4 linked regions of the Saccharomyces cerevisiae S288C genome follow. The protein of the gene in region 1 purifies or fractionates together with the protein of each later gene. This does not show direct contact. Each region holds a gene or a part of one and is shown in the gene's direction. Other genes may lie near its edges.

What was found.
Region 2: the proteins of NAS2 (region 1) and RPN5 purify together in Saccharomyces cerevisiae (affinity purification with mass spectrometry; 2 studies listed by BioGRID). This does not show direct contact.
Region 3: the proteins of NAS2 (region 1) and RPT3 purify together in Saccharomyces cerevisiae (affinity purification with western blotting; 5 studies listed by BioGRID, with this or other methods). This does not show direct contact.
Region 4: the proteins of NAS2 (region 1) and RPN2 purify together in Saccharomyces cerevisiae (affinity purification with western blotting; 3 studies listed by BioGRID, with this or other methods). This does not show direct contact.

Annotation. Positions count from the first base shown.
Region 1 is NC_001141.2:342,464-345,277, reverse strand, and holds NAS2 (Nas2p), read left to right. Parts: upstream 1-1,621; coding exon 1,622-2,284; downstream 2,285-2,814. Other genes in the region: YIA6 (NAD+ transporter), read right to left, coding at 95-1,216; ubiquitin-related modifier URM1, read right to left, coding at 2,443-2,742. UniProt on the Saccharomyces cerevisiae protein: Acts as a chaperone during the assembly of the 26S proteasome, specifically of the base subcomplex of the 19S regulatory complex (RC).
Region 2 is NC_001136.10:188,917-192,795, forward strand, and holds RPN5 (proteasome regulatory particle lid subunit RPN5), read left to right. Parts: upstream 1-2,007; coding exon 2,008-3,345; downstream 3,346-3,879. Other genes in the region: snoRNA-binding rRNA-processing protein NOP14, read right to left, coding at 1-1,670; LDB17 (Ldb17p), read left to right, coding at 3,834-3,879. UniProt on the Saccharomyces cerevisiae protein: Acts as a regulatory subunit of the 26S proteasome which is involved in the ATP-dependent degradation of ubiquitinated proteins.
Region 3 is NC_001136.10:1,259,957-1,263,534, forward strand, and holds RPT3 (proteasome regulatory particle base subunit RPT3), read left to right. Parts: upstream 1-1,724; coding exon 1,725-3,011; downstream 3,012-3,578. Other genes in the region: SHE9 (She9p), read left to right, coding at 1-1,315; SXM1 (Sxm1p), read left to right, coding at 3,368-3,578. UniProt on the Saccharomyces cerevisiae protein: The 26S proteasome is involved in the ATP-dependent degradation of ubiquitinated proteins. The regulatory (or ATPase) complex confers ATP dependency and substrate specificity to the 26S complex.
Region 4 is NC_001141.2:217,363-222,706, reverse strand, and holds RPN2 (proteasome regulatory particle base subunit RPN2), read left to right. Parts: upstream 1-2,006; coding exon 2,007-4,844; downstream 4,845-5,344. Other genes in the region: phosphoglycerate dehydrogenase SER33, read left to right, coding at 217-1,626; SEC28 (coatomer subunit epsilon), read right to left, coding at 5,159-5,344. UniProt on the Saccharomyces cerevisiae protein: Acts as a regulatory subunit of the 26S proteasome which is involved in the ATP-dependent degradation of ubiquitinated proteins.

The DNA of each region.
Region 1 (2,814 bases):
TTATTTGGTATATTTACAAGCTGTAATACCTAAAATATTAGCGCAGGCATATTCATAGCACACTCAATGTGTGGCGTGTGTGAATTTTAAGGCTTTAAATTACCATAGTGCTAATATTTTCTAGGCGGTTTCTGAAATACTCAAAGGACACTAGAGTGATTGCCGAGGCCGGAATGGTTCGTACTAGGTTAGTAGTAAATCCAGAATAAAATCCCTTTAGTCCCTCTTGTGCATAAGTTGCTTTAATGAGGGGGAACAGACGTCGTTGAATGGAATCTGGTATATCTGATTTCAGTTGCATTCTGGTTCGTAAAATTTCGTGCGGATATGTTACTGCTGATGCAATCATCTTAGAGACGGACGATGCCATGATCAACCGTTGCAAGTTGATGGAGTTGGTGTTGTTCTCCCGAGAATAGCAGTGAAATCTTACCTTCAAATCTTCGTATATAGGGAAATGGATAGCCACATGAAATAGCCCTAATAATGAGGGGACCAGCCCCGCATATAATGCTTTAAACCCTTCCTGATAAAATAGCTTTCTGAATGCATCGAAAGTGCCTTTGTAATGTGTGGGGTGCTCACCGAGGTTTGATTGCAGCATAAGTCTTGTCTTCACAACCCAGATTGGGTTGGTCAAGGTGGTAGATGCAGCGCCTGCCGTGATTGCAGCACATGACTGAGCAACAAAATCAAACTGTGGGAAGATGCCGTGAAAGAACTTTTTGCTGAATTCATACACGGAGAAGTATATCATCCAGGTTGGGAAGTAGCCCAGGACAATCGGTACCAGCCCTTTGTAGAGGCCCCGCGGGCCTTCGTCTCTTACTATAGTACTTAATGTCCCCATTATCCCCCTATAGTAGGGGTTCTCGAACCTAGTTTGTAGTCCTTGTGCTTGCAATCGCGTTTTGGCAACATCGAGGGGACATACTGCCACACCTGATAAGAATCCAGCAAATGCGCCGGAAAGAGCTGTGATCTGAGTTGAGGATAGTGGTACCCATTTCTTTCGCAGCGTTGTCCCTATAATTGACTCAGTACTGCTGTTCATCTTGATGGGCTCGATGATATCTGCTGAGGACAGTTGGGAGGAATGATCAGGGAATATCAATTGTTCTTCATGCAACAACAGTGGCTCTTCATGGTCTGCAGAGCAATACTGCTGCTCGGGCAGTAAACCGCAGTTGGGGACAGGATTATCAGTCTGTGTCATTGTGCTAAAGACTGCTGCCTTCAGTGTTGATCTCACTACTATTACGGTTGGCAGTCTGTAGTAGAGATTCTTTTCAGAATTCGATTAAGCACTAGGCCGGTGGGTAACCCCTAGAAATTGGTGCTATTGGACCATATTATGAGAGTCATTTAAAGGGCCCTTCGGGCTGGCTCACATAAAGGTTGGGATCTATGACCTTTATCAATACGGATCTTACTACTGGCTATTCATTAATTCTCGAAATTTGCTGTCCCTTGCGTGCGCCGTGGATTGTGTTCGATAAGGCTTACTTTATAACGGTTGGAATATTGGATAATAAAGGGAAAAAAAATGTTCAGCATTGAGAGATAGAAAAGTTATCACCAGAGTAAAAAGGAGCAAGAATTAGAATAAGAACGAACTACAATGGAGGAAGAAGAATTAAGTAAATTGTTGGCCAATGTTAAGATAGATCCGAGCCTAACATCAAGAATTAGTCAAATAGACAGCTTCAAACTGTCGGAATTGATGGTTCTAAAGACAGATATTGAGACACAACTAGAGGCGTATTTCAGTGTGCTTGAGCAGCAAGGCATCGGCATGGACTCTGCGTTGGTGACGCCAGACGGGTATCCTCGTTCGGATGTCGATGTATTGCAAGTCACTATGATCAGAAAGAATGTTAATATGCTGAAGAATGATTTAAATCACCTTTTGCAAAGATCACACGTCTTACTAAACCAGCACTTTGATAATATGAACGTTAAGTCAAACCAAGATGCAAGAAGGAATAACGACGATCAAGCTATTCAGTATACCATCCCTTTTGCATTTATCAGTGAGGTAGTACCCGGTAGCCCTTCAGATAAAGCAGACATAAAGGTTGATGATAAGCTGATTTCTATTGGTAATGTGCATGCGGCAAACCACTCTAAACTTCAAAACATTCAGATGGTTGTAATGAAAAATGAAGACAGGCCACTTCCCGTCCTTCTCTTGAGAGAAGGGCAAATCCTAAAGACATCGCTAACACCTTCGAGAAACTGGAATGGTAGAGGTCTTTTGGGTTGTAGGATACAAGAGCTATAATCTTCGTCATGTACTAAAAAAAACCAATCCAGTTATTACTATTACTTTTTATACTATCTGCATATTACCTACGTTATCTAACTTGTGATTCATTCAAGCTGTACAGCACTTTATATATATATATGTAGCTGCTTCTTAAAAATTATTTGCTGCTATTTTTAACCACCATGTAATGTTGAAGTAAAAGAGATGATGTCACCGTCTTCCAATATGTAGTCTTTTTCGCCTTCGAGCTCCCAATCGGTGTCGTTGATTAATGTGATGATACCGGGTCTTATAGAATCATCTTCGATGAAGATACTAACGTCATTAGGGTTATTGATCATAGTAGATACAATGTGGTCAATCAAATCGCCCACTGTGACAGGATCTTCTTTGTCCATCTTAATTTTATGTACTCTTTGTTTTCCAAAAATAGCATCAAGTCCACCTAGAAACTCCACTTTCACGTTTACCATCCCGATTTTGCTATTAACCTATCTCGTTTTAGTATCAGAAATCAGTATTGTTTTCTGCTTTGGGAATTTTTG
Region 2 (3,879 bases), on another chromosome or scaffold:
GAAATGCGTTGATATTGTGAAACAATCCTTACCAAGACAGCGCCAAAAGCTATCCTCTTTAAAGAATTAAACTTGATTTGTTCCAGGAACTGGCTCATTAAAATCAATGCTGGAGTTATTACTAAATGGTACTGGTCCGAGGTGGAGAAAAGAATACCAATAATGGAAAAAAATACCAGATCACCATTTGATAGAGCATCAAAATGGTTCTTTTTATAGCGTGCTTGCATTTCATTGATATAATCTCTACACTCCTCGGAAAGCTCTCTATTATATTTCTCTGAAAGGGATTTTAGAATTGAGATCAATGCATTTTGTGTACGTTTAAAACTTTGAACGTTTTTAAGGTAGTTTTGATTGCTTAGAAAAATGATGTGTCTCAGTAAAACAGCGGTGAATTTTCCTAACTTTTCCTTATTACCTTCAGCCAATTTTGGTTGGTAAGCTTTGATAATATTCTTAACAATCTTAGGATGATCATCTAAGTCTAATTTTTTTACTTGATCTAATAACGCATCATGAGTTCTAGGGCATGAAATGGAAATGTTCTTTTTCTTTAAAATTTGAGAAAACCCTTCATCTCTGCCTTGATCTTCAAATTTGATATCATCATCAGAATCAGCAATACCGTCATTATCGTCTTCATAGTCTTCTTCATTTTCCCAGAATCCATCATCCAAATCCTCTACTCCTCTTTCTTCGCCTTCTTCTAATTCAATCATACCGTTCATACGATCAAGACGCTGTTGTTCCAACTCCCGTTTTTTTTCTTCAGCTTCAGCGTTTTTCTCCTCTTCAGTTTTAGTTCTATCAGAGGGTGCAGCTCTTTTGTCCAATTGTAGTTCTTTCACTTTGATATCATACTCCTTATCTAGATCGGTCTTAGGTTCCATTGGATTCTTCTTGGGTTGCGTCATCATCAATTCAGACATAACATCCTCGAAATTATCATCCAGATTATCTATTTGATCTTCCATTATACCTTGAGCCTTTTGTCTTTCTTGTTTGTAAAATTTTGATTTGGCAATGACCTCTTTCATGACTTCAGCTTTGGTTTTTTTTCTTTGAGGTTGCTGTAGCTCAGCATCATCTTCATTGAATCGTTTGGAAGCTAAAAAATCCTCTTCATCATTGGCAAGCTCATCTTCTAGGGACAGCGATTGACCTAAATGTGTAAGACCGTCTCCAAACATGTCACCGTCGTCTTCATCGTCTTCAAGATTGAATAAATTTGCGTTTCTCTTTGATTGGCTTTGTCTTTCTCTGGTGAAACGTTCCAACATTTTTTCTTCTTCCGTCAACAACTTGTCTCTTTCACCAAATCTCTTATCGATCACACCACCACGTTTATTCTTCATCATTTTTCTTGCTTCAAATGCACGCTTTCTTTGTTCTTCACCGATCTGTTTAGAGATACCAGGCTTACCCACAGCAATACGATCAGCAGTTTTAGAAGGCAGACCATCTCTCCTCTTATTCCTTGCAGCCTTTATTTCAAACGGATTAAACTCTTCTCTGATTTCAGCAATGGCCTTTTTTTTTTCTTCACGATCATACTCCTTCGCTTGTCTTTTGGAATTCTTTTTATTCTTACTTTTGACGTTTGTTTGACCTGTGAGTCCACGGGCCTTCAAGGCGGCCTTTAAATTCTTAAGTTGTGAACCGGCCATGTATTTGATCTTCCCTTTTATTTGCTTCTCAACTGTACTATTTACAGTAATAATTAGTGCAACCTTCAGATGCTTCTCGCTAAATGCTCATCTCTAAATTATCATTATTATTCCTAATAAATCCTAAAATTTTTCACTCGTTCTGTACGGCTCATCGCCCCAATATTACCCGTCTTGTATGTGATCTTTTTGACTTTTCGGTGGCAAAATGCAAAGGGGAATCCAAGGAAAAACCATAACAGGACACTACATCAGAGATAATCTTGAATTAAGAGAGTAGAGGAATATACTGCTGGGCTCACTACCATTTTTGTTGCTAGAGTAAACGTAGAGAAAGATGTCAAGAGATGCACCAATTAAGGCTGACAAGGATTATAGCCAAATTTTGAAGGAAGAGTTTCCTAAGATCGATTCGCTCGCTCAAAATGATTGTAACTCTGCTTTAGACCAACTGTTAGTGTTGGAGAAGAAAACCAGACAAGCTTCAGATCTGGCCTCCTCGAAAGAAGTTTTGGCCAAGATTGTAGATCTGCTAGCATCAAGGAATAAGTGGGACGACCTAAATGAGCAATTGACTCTACTCTCAAAAAAGCATGGTCAGTTGAAATTGTCAATTCAGTATATGATACAAAAGGTTATGGAATATTTGAAAAGCTCGAAATCTTTGGATTTAAACACCAGAATTAGTGTCATTGAAACTATCAGGGTGGTTACAGAGAACAAAATATTTGTAGAAGTGGAAAGAGCTAGGGTCACCAAAGATTTGGTGGAAATTAAGAAAGAAGAGGGTAAGATTGATGAAGCTGCAGACATCTTGTGTGAGTTACAGGTTGAGACCTATGGCTCCATGGAAATGTCTGAGAAAATTCAGTTTATATTAGAGCAAATGGAATTGAGTATATTAAAAGGTGATTATTCCCAAGCCACGGTGCTTTCAAGAAAAATTCTGAAAAAAACTTTTAAAAATCCAAAATACGAGTCATTGAAGCTAGAATATTATAATCTTCTGGTAAAAATTAGTTTGCACAAGAGAGAATACCTAGAAGTTGCGCAGTATCTGCAAGAAATTTATCAAACAGACGCCATTAAATCAGATGAGGCTAAGTGGAAACCTGTTTTATCGCACATTGTATATTTCTTAGTCCTTTCACCTTACGGCAATTTACAAAATGATTTAATTCACAAAATCCAGAATGATAACAACCTGAAAAAATTAGAAAGCCAAGAATCTTTAGTAAAATTGTTTACTACGAATGAGTTGATGAGATGGCCAATTGTTCAAAAAACCTATGAGCCCGTCTTAAATGAGGATGATTTGGCATTTGGTGGAGAAGCTAATAAGCATCACTGGGAAGATTTACAAAAAAGGGTCATCGAGCACAATTTAAGAGTCATTTCCGAATACTATTCCAGAATTACTTTACTAAGATTGAATGAATTGCTGGACCTAACGGAGAGCCAGACGGAAACATACATCAGTGATTTGGTAAACCAGGGCATCATATACGCTAAAGTTAATCGCCCAGCCAAAATCGTGAATTTTGAAAAACCAAAAAACTCAAGCCAATTATTGAACGAATGGTCACATAATGTTGACGAACTATTAGAACATATAGAAACAATAGGCCATTTAATTACAAAAGAGGAAATCATGCACGGTTTGCAAGCTAAATGAAGAGATTTTCGAGTAAGTGTCGGATTATCTCAGATCCGGTTTTGATTTTAAATCTGTTACTAATCGAAATGTGTATTTACGTACGTGAGATAAAATTATCTATGCATATATATAACTCAAATGGAAAATGGCCACGTATTGCTCTCATTCTCTTCACTTGCTTACACAAAACATAAGGTGACAATTAATGGAATTTTAGTTTTTCAATTTTTCAGGGGAAAGAAGACACCCAAAAAAAAAGTGAAAAGTCAAAACGGTAAACTGTTTATGGTATTTAAATGACATTAATAGCAGCGTAAAGAGTCATTTTTTCGTTTGATTAGCAAAACTCTGAACATTAATTACTACACCTATAGACATATCTTTAAACAGTGAAATATTTTTTTCATTTAGTAAACAAGAATTAAACTTTGAATATTTTTTTTTCGATTAACTTATGTCACTTTAGCCTATACTTTCTTCGAACATTTTTCCTTTCATTTTGACTCATGATATTAGATCCATTATCTCCAAATATTGAAAATCATACTCAAG
Region 3 (3,578 bases), on another chromosome or scaffold:
ATTAATGTTGAGGGCGTCATCTTTCACCAGGCCATTTCATTATAGTTCATATTCTCTACAGAACGGTGATACTCCTGATAAAGGCAGCACTAATAAAAATGAAATACGGACACCTAATAACGCTGTTTGGAAAGAAAATATAGAACTTCAATGGCAGCACTTGAAAAAGAAATTAAATGAATTGTATTCTAGGTTTAACTTCCACCGAGATCAATTATCCTTTCAAGTTAACAAGGCCAAAAAATCAATTCAAGAGGCAAACAGGAAGTTGTCTGAGCAAGAGAATGAAATCAACGATTCCCGTTTAAACTATAATAAAGATGAATTGACCAGTGCGAAAATTGAAGGATTGCCCTCCGAAAGGGAACAACATAGAAAAAAATGGTCTAGAAAGTTAGAGTTTTATTTTGACTCATTACAGGAGACGTTATTTACTGCCACACGTGCTTTAAATGATGTGACCGGTTATTCTGGAATTCAAAAGCTCAAATCTAGCATCAGTCTAATGGAAAAAAAATTAGAAGCTACAAAGAAAGAACACAAACTGTTTAAGGCACAGTACGCTAACGCCATTGATGAACGTGCTCAATCCCAAAGAGAAGTTAACGAATTATTGCAAAGGCAAAGCGCGTGGTCTTCGAGCGATTTAGAGAGATTTACGCAGCTATACAAAAATGACGCCTTGAATGCTAGACAGGAGCAAGAACTAAAAAACAAGGTTAAAGAAATTGAAAGCAAAGAAGAACAACTAAATGACGACTTGTATAGAGCAATTTTGACCAGGTACCATGAGGAACAAATATGGTCAGACAAAATCCGAAGAACATCCACCTGGGGTACATTCATCTTAATGGGTATGAATATATTCTTGTTTATTGTCCTACAATTACTATTAGAACCTTGGAAACGGAAAAGGTTAGTAGGATCGTTTGAAGACAAAGTCAAAAGCGCTCTCAACGAATATGCCAAGGAGCAGAATATGAAGATGGATAAATTGTTACCTGGAAAATCATCGGAAGTAACAGACCAAGGCAACACAGAAAACTCGATCGTTGAAGAGCACATAGAACAGAGAGGTGAATGTAAAATTAATACGGCGGAAATCGACAGGCCTGAAGTTGCAACGGCTGAGACCACTACAACAGAAATGAAATCCTTCAGAGATATTTGGGAACGAATAAAGGCACTTTTTGTCACACTAAAAAGCATACAATATAGGAAACTTGACGCTCCCCTAGTCTTTGACACCTTAGAGTTCTACTTATACTCAATTTCTTTAGTGAGTATGACAATCTTGGTATCCGGGCTGATATGACATGATATACTGCGCAAGAATATCGTTAAAAAAACACGCATGCATTTTTTTCATCCTTTATCCTTGTACATAATAAAATCATAAATACACAGTAAATAGCACGTTTTGGTTTCAATATCCTTAACCTTACCTAGCTAATGTTTAGCTGGTGTAATCCATTATAATCAAAATTTCTCTAATGTTTGGCTCTTCGTAGCGCGCGATGTGCCCTTTCATATTTTTCCTGAAAGTAAGGTGGCAAAATAGTAAATCTGCAGTAATTGGGTATAGCCATGAATATAGGAAGTAATAGGGCTCAGATTCTCAGTGTGTGGACAAACCAATTCTGCCTATTTCCTTTCACTCATAAGTTATACAAGAGGCAATCGGATAAAATTCAAGTATTTATAAAGTAAAAACCACAACAAGAATGGAGGAACTAGGTATTGTGACACCTGTCGAAAAGGCAGTCGAAGAAAAACCAGCCGTCAAATCATACGCATCATTGTTGGCTCAACTCAATGGTACAGTCAACAATAACAGTGCCCTGTCTAATGTGAATTCTGATATATATTTCAAATTGAAGAAATTAGAAAAAGAGTATGAACTGCTGACTTTGCAAGAAGACTATATTAAGGACGAACAACGCCATTTGAAACGTGAATTGAAGAGAGCTCAAGAAGAAGTAAAGAGAATCCAGTCGGTTCCATTAGTTATCGGGCAATTCTTAGAACCTATTGATCAGAACACAGGTATTGTTTCTAGTACCACAGGTATGAGTTATGTCGTTAGAATATTATCAACCCTAGACCGTGAACTATTAAAGCCATCTATGTCTGTAGCTTTACATCGTCATTCAAATGCTTTAGTTGACATCCTACCACCTGATTCCGACTCTAGCATATCCGTAATGGGCGAAAACGAAAAACCTGACGTCACTTATGCAGATGTTGGTGGGTTAGATATGCAAAAGCAAGAAATCAGGGAAGCCGTAGAGCTGCCATTAGTTCAGGCTGATCTATACGAGCAAATCGGTATTGACCCTCCTAGGGGTGTTCTATTATATGGTCCACCAGGTACCGGTAAGACGATGCTTGTTAAAGCCGTCGCCAATAGTACAAAAGCTGCATTCATAAGAGTTAATGGCTCCGAATTTGTTCACAAATATCTTGGTGAAGGTCCAAGAATGGTTCGTGACGTCTTTAGACTCGCCAGGGAAAATGCTCCATCCATTATATTCATAGATGAGGTAGATTCCATTGCCACAAAGCGTTTTGATGCTCAAACGGGTTCCGATCGTGAAGTACAGCGTATCCTGATTGAGTTGTTGACACAAATGGATGGTTTCGATCAATCCACCAACGTTAAAGTCATCATGGCTACAAACAGGGCAGACACATTGGACCCAGCTTTGCTGAGACCAGGCAGATTAGATAGAAAGATTGAGTTTCCCTCACTTCGTGATAGGCGTGAACGTCGTTTGATTTTCGGTACCATTGCCAGTAAGATGTCCCTTGCCCCAGAAGCGGACTTAGACTCGCTTATTATTCGTAACGACTCTCTATCAGGTGCTGTTATTGCAGCGATCATGCAGGAAGCTGGTTTAAGAGCAGTGAGGAAAAACAGATATGTCATCTTACAAAGCGATCTGGAAGAAGCTTACGCCACTCAAGTCAAGACAGATAATACCGTCGATAAATTCGACTTCTACAAATGATTACCATATATGCTTCAACGTAGGTCTACATAAAGTATTACGTACATTTCTATCTAGACAACACTAAATGAAATAAATACAGACGCCACTTTTTTATCACGTTTCTTAGCGTTATTCCGCGCGCAACCGGACGTCGCTAGCCAAGTTTTTCACTTTTTTTTTTCTGTGATATTTTTTTTTCCAAATGAGATGGTAAGATGAGTACCTATCAACAAGTATCTCAATCAATAAAGTACAACCAAAATATCAAGTACGCAGTCTCTGCTTCATCCCAGTGTAGATTTGCTATTCGATTTGTGTCATAAACATTTAACATTGCGCCCGTCTACAACAAAGGAGATAAATCAAAAAAGGAAATGGTACAAGAACAGGCAATTTTGAGCTGCATTGAGCAGACTATGGTTGCTGATGCAAAAATTATCAAAGAGGCAGAACAGCAGTTATTTGAGTTCCAGAAGCAACCTGGGTTTACTTCTTTTCTGCTTAATATAGTGTCTGATGATAATTTTGCGCTAAATGTTCGTCTTTCTTCTGCTATTTATTTGAAGAATAAGATTCACAGATCAT
Region 4 (5,344 bases), 130 kb from region 1:
ATTTGGCCGTCAGCCGGACAGCGCTCAGATTAATTGTGGGCTAGATTCTTCACGCTGGAAACGAGTCACCGTTATGAAAACTAATGGAATCTCCCAGGTTTAATACATAAGAAGGTTACGAGCTACTACATTAAAAAATACTTTGTCTGTTTTAGCTGTAGATTATTGTAACATTAAAAAGTAACAAACACTGATTTCGGGTATTTCCTCCCTAACATGTCTTATTCAGCTGCCGATAATTTACAAGATTCATTCCAACGTGCCATGAACTTTTCTGGCTCTCCTGGTGCAGTCTCAACCTCACCAACTCAGTCATTTATGAACACACTACCTCGTCGTGTAAGCATTACAAAGCAACCAAAGGCTTTAAAACCTTTTTCTACTGGTGACATGAATATTCTACTGTTGGAAAATGTCAATGCAACTGCAATCAAAATCTTCAAGGATCAGGGTTACCAAGTAGAGTTCCACAAGTCTTCTCTACCTGAGGATGAATTGATTGAAAAAATCAAAGACGTACACGCTATCGGTATAAGATCCAAAACTAGATTGACTGAAAAAATACTACAGCATGCCAGGAATCTAGTTTGTATTGGTTGTTTTTGCATAGGTACCAATCAAGTAGACCTAAAATATGCCGCTAGTAAAGGTATTGCTGTTTTCAATTCGCCATTCTCCAATTCAAGATCCGTAGCAGAATTGGTAATTGGTGAGATCATTAGTTTAGCAAGACAATTAGGTGATAGATCCATTGAACTGCATACAGGTACATGGAATAAAGTCGCTGCTAGGTGTTGGGAAGTAAGAGGAAAAACTCTCGGTATTATTGGGTATGGTCACATTGGTTCGCAATTATCAGTTCTTGCAGAAGCTATGGGCCTGCATGTGCTATACTATGATATCGTGACAATTATGGCCTTAGGTACTGCCAGACAAGTTTCTACATTAGATGAATTGTTGAATAAATCTGATTTTGTAACACTACATGTACCAGCTACTCCAGAAACTGAAAAAATGTTATCTGCTCCACAATTCGCTGCTATGAAGGACGGGGCTTATGTTATTAATGCCTCAAGAGGTACTGTCGTGGACATTCCATCTCTGATCCAAGCCGTCAAGGCCAACAAAATTGCAGGTGCTGCTTTAGATGTTTATCCACATGAACCAGCTAAGAACGGTGAAGGTTCATTTAACGATGAACTTAACAGCTGGACTTCTGAGTTGGTTTCATTACCAAATATAATCCTGACACCACATATTGGTGGCTCTACAGAAGAAGCTCAAAGTTCAATCGGTATTGAGGTGGCTACTGCATTGTCCAAATACATCAATGAAGGTAACTCTGTCGGTTCTGTGAACTTCCCAGAAGTCAGTTTGAAGTCTTTGGACTACGATCAAGAGAACACAGTACGTGTCTTGTATATTCATCGTAACGTTCCTGGTGTTTTGAAGACCGTTAATGATATCTTATCCGATCATAATATCGAGAAACAGTTTTCTGATTCTCACGGCGAGATCGCTTATCTAATGGCAGACATCTCTTCTGTTAATCAAAGTGAAATCAAGGATATATATGAAAAGTTGAACCAAACTTCTGCCAAAGTTTCCATCAGGTTATTATACTAATTACTCAGATAAATAAAAATATATGTATAGATTTAAAATCCTCCCCTATCTTCATAGTATGTAAGATATGTTGAAACGGAATCGAGTAAAAAAATAGCCTTTGATTGCCCATTAAACTCCACAAAGTGCTGTCTCACGATTCATGGACGATAATCTGTCGAGCTTTTTCGATCTGCCTCTTATTGCCATTATTTCGAGGGTTTAGTGCGGGTAATAGCATATTGCTTTTCAATAGGAGAAGGGCGCATTTCATTTATTTTCGGTGGCAAAACTGGATACATAAAAGTATAATGCTTTGAATCCAAGGGAAAAAAAATTGTGGAACTCTATCCAGTAAAAGACCACCCAGAATAGATTGAGTTCAAATATAACCGGAAAAGATGTCTTTGACGACTGCTGCTCCTCTTTTAGCATTGTTGAGAGAGAATCAAGATTCTGTTAAAACATATGCCCTAGAATCTATAAATAATGTTGTGGACCAATTATGGTCTGAGATCTCGAATGAACTGCCGGATATTGAGGCATTGTATGATGACGATACCTTTTCAGACCGTGAAATGGCTGCTTTGATTGCATCCAAAGTTTATTACAATCTTGGTGAATACGAATCGGCTGTGAAGTATGCACTTGCCGCAAAGGATCGTTTTGATATAGACGAAAAGTCACAATTTGTTGAAACTATAGTCTCAAAGAGTATTGAGATGTACGTCCAAGAGGCTTCCAAGCAATACACTAAGGACGAACAATTTTACACCAAGGATATTATTGACCCAAAATTAACCTCTATTTTTGAGCGAATGATAGAAAAATGTTTGAAAGCTTCAGAATTAAAATTAGCTTTAGGAATTGCCTTAGAAGGTTACAGATTGGATATCATTGAAAGTGCTTTAAAGAGCAAATTGGATCAGGATTCCACTTCTGAAAACGTTAAAATTATTAACTACTTATTGACCTTAGCTATAACTACTGTGACAAATTCCAAGTTCAGATCCTCGATATTGAGAAAATCATTTGATTTCCTAATGAATATGCCTAACTGCGATTACTTAACGCTCAATAAAGTAGTTGTAAATTTGAATGACGCCGGATTGGCACTTCAGCTATTTAAAAAATTAAAGGAAGAGAACGATGAAGGATTATCTGCTCAAATTGCATTTGATTTGGTTTCGTCTGCGTCTCAGCAGTTGCTTGAGATTTTAGTAACCGAACTAACTGCCCAGGGTTACGATCCTGCCTTATTGAATATTCTATCTGGGCTACCGACTTGTGATTATTACAATACCTTCCTTTTGAATAATAAAAACATTGACATCGGTCTTTTAAACAAGTCTAAATCATCTTTGGATGGGAAATTTTCTTTGTTCCACACCGCAGTCAGCGTTGCCAACGGTTTTATGCACGCTGGTACTACCGACAATTCATTTATCAAGGCGAACTTGCCATGGTTAGGTAAGGCTCAAAATTGGGCTAAATTTACAGCTACAGCCTCTTTAGGTGTAATTCATAAAGGCAATTTATTGGAGGGTAAAAAAGTCATGGCCCCTTACTTGCCAGGCAGTCGAGCTTCTTCTAGGTTTATCAAAGGTGGTTCATTGTATGGTTTGGGTTTAATTTATGCTGGCTTTGGTCGTGATACAACTGACTATCTGAAAAACATAATAGTTGAGAATAGCGGAACTTCAGGCGATGAAGACGTAGATGTATTGTTACATGGTGCTTCACTGGGTATCGGTCTTGCTGCTATGGGTTCTGCTAATATTGAAGTTTATGAAGCCTTAAAGGAAGTTCTGTACAACGATTCTGCCACATCTGGAGAAGCAGCTGCATTAGGTATGGGTCTCTGTATGCTCGGAACAGGTAAGCCTGAAGCGATTCACGATATGTTTACATATTCCCAAGAAACGCAGCATGGCAATATTACTCGTGGTCTAGCCGTTGGTTTAGCACTGATAAATTACGGCCGTCAAGAGTTAGCTGATGATTTAATTACTAAGATGTTAGCAAGTGATGAGTCCTTGTTACGCTATGGAGGTGCATTCACAATCGCGTTAGCGTATGCGGGTACGGGAAATAATTCAGCTGTCAAGAGATTACTGCATGTGGCAGTCTCGGATTCTAACGATGATGTCAGAAGGGCAGCAGTCATCGCATTAGGGTTTGTTCTCTTGCGTGATTATACCACTGTACCAAGGATTGTCCAACTTCTATCTAAATCGCATAACGCTCATGTCAGATGTGGTACCGCATTTGCTCTTGGGATTGCTTGTGCCGGCAAGGGTTTACAATCAGCTATTGACGTTTTAGATCCGCTAACAAAGGACCCAGTAGATTTTGTTCGTCAGGCTGCCATGATAGCTTTATCCATGATTTTGATTCAACAAACAGAAAAACTAAACCCTCAAGTTGCTGATATTAACAAAAATTTTTTGAGCGTGATTACAAACAAACACCAAGAAGGTTTAGCCAAATTCGGTGCATGTGTGGCCCAAGGTATAATGAATGCCGGTGGGCGTAATGTTACAATTCAGCTGGAAAATGCGGATACAGGCACATTGGATACCAAGTCCGTAGTTGGTTTGGTCATGTTCTCACAATTCTGGTACTGGTTCCCACTGGCTCACTTTTTATCCCTTTCTTTTACACCAACAACTGTCATTGGTATTCGTGGTAGCGATCAAGCTATACCCAAATTTCAAATGAATTGTTACGCTAAAGAAGATGCATTCAGTTATCCGAGGATGTATGAGGAAGCAAGTGGTAAGGAGGTAGAGAAGGTAGCAACAGCTGTTCTTTCCACGACAGCAAGAGCAAAAGCAAGGGCAAAGAAGACAAAGAAGGAAAAGGGTCCAAATGAGGAAGAAAAGAAAAAAGAGCATGAGGAAAAAGAAAAGGAAAGAGAGACGAATAAAAAAGGCATAAAAGAAACAAAAGAAAACGACGAAGAATTTTACAAAAATAAGTACTCTTCTAAACCTTATAAAGTCGACAATATGACCCGTATACTACCACAACAATCGAGATATATTTCCTTTATTAAGGACGACAGATTTGTTCCTGTACGTAAATTCAAAGGAAATAACGGTGTGGTGGTTTTAAGAGATAGGGAACCCAAGGAACCTGTAGCACTAATTGAAACTGTTAGGCAAATGAAAGATGTTAACGCTCCACTTCCAACCCCATTTAAGGTCGATGATAATGTCGACTTCCCTAGTGCTTAGATCAAGGGTGCATGGTCGTACAGAAAATGAAGAATTAGTTCAAAATGCCAGAAAATAAATAATAGTGTACATACTTTTAAAAAAAAATCATTGAATTATTCTGCCAGGATTAGCTACTTTACGCATAATTCTAACGTGACAAATGTTGTTTCCGCTTTGTTAATTATACTTTATATGATTTTGTTCAAGCCATGTCAACCTCATTTATGGTACCATCTTATTCGGCTTTATCAAAATAGTATATAGGCATATACATGAAATATTTTTTTCTTTTTCTAAAAAACCTACATGTTTAATGTGAGATATTACGTAAATCAGTTGGACGTATCATATTTCCTCACTAATTCATCGAATTTTGCGTCAATTTCTTGGTGATGCTTGATGAATGCATGTTCGTGATCCAATTTAACCAATTGATTTGTTAAATCTTCAGTATCAAGACCTTGCATAAGAGCAAGCGTAATTTGGTTTGCTAAGAAAGTAGGTTTGTACAATACGGC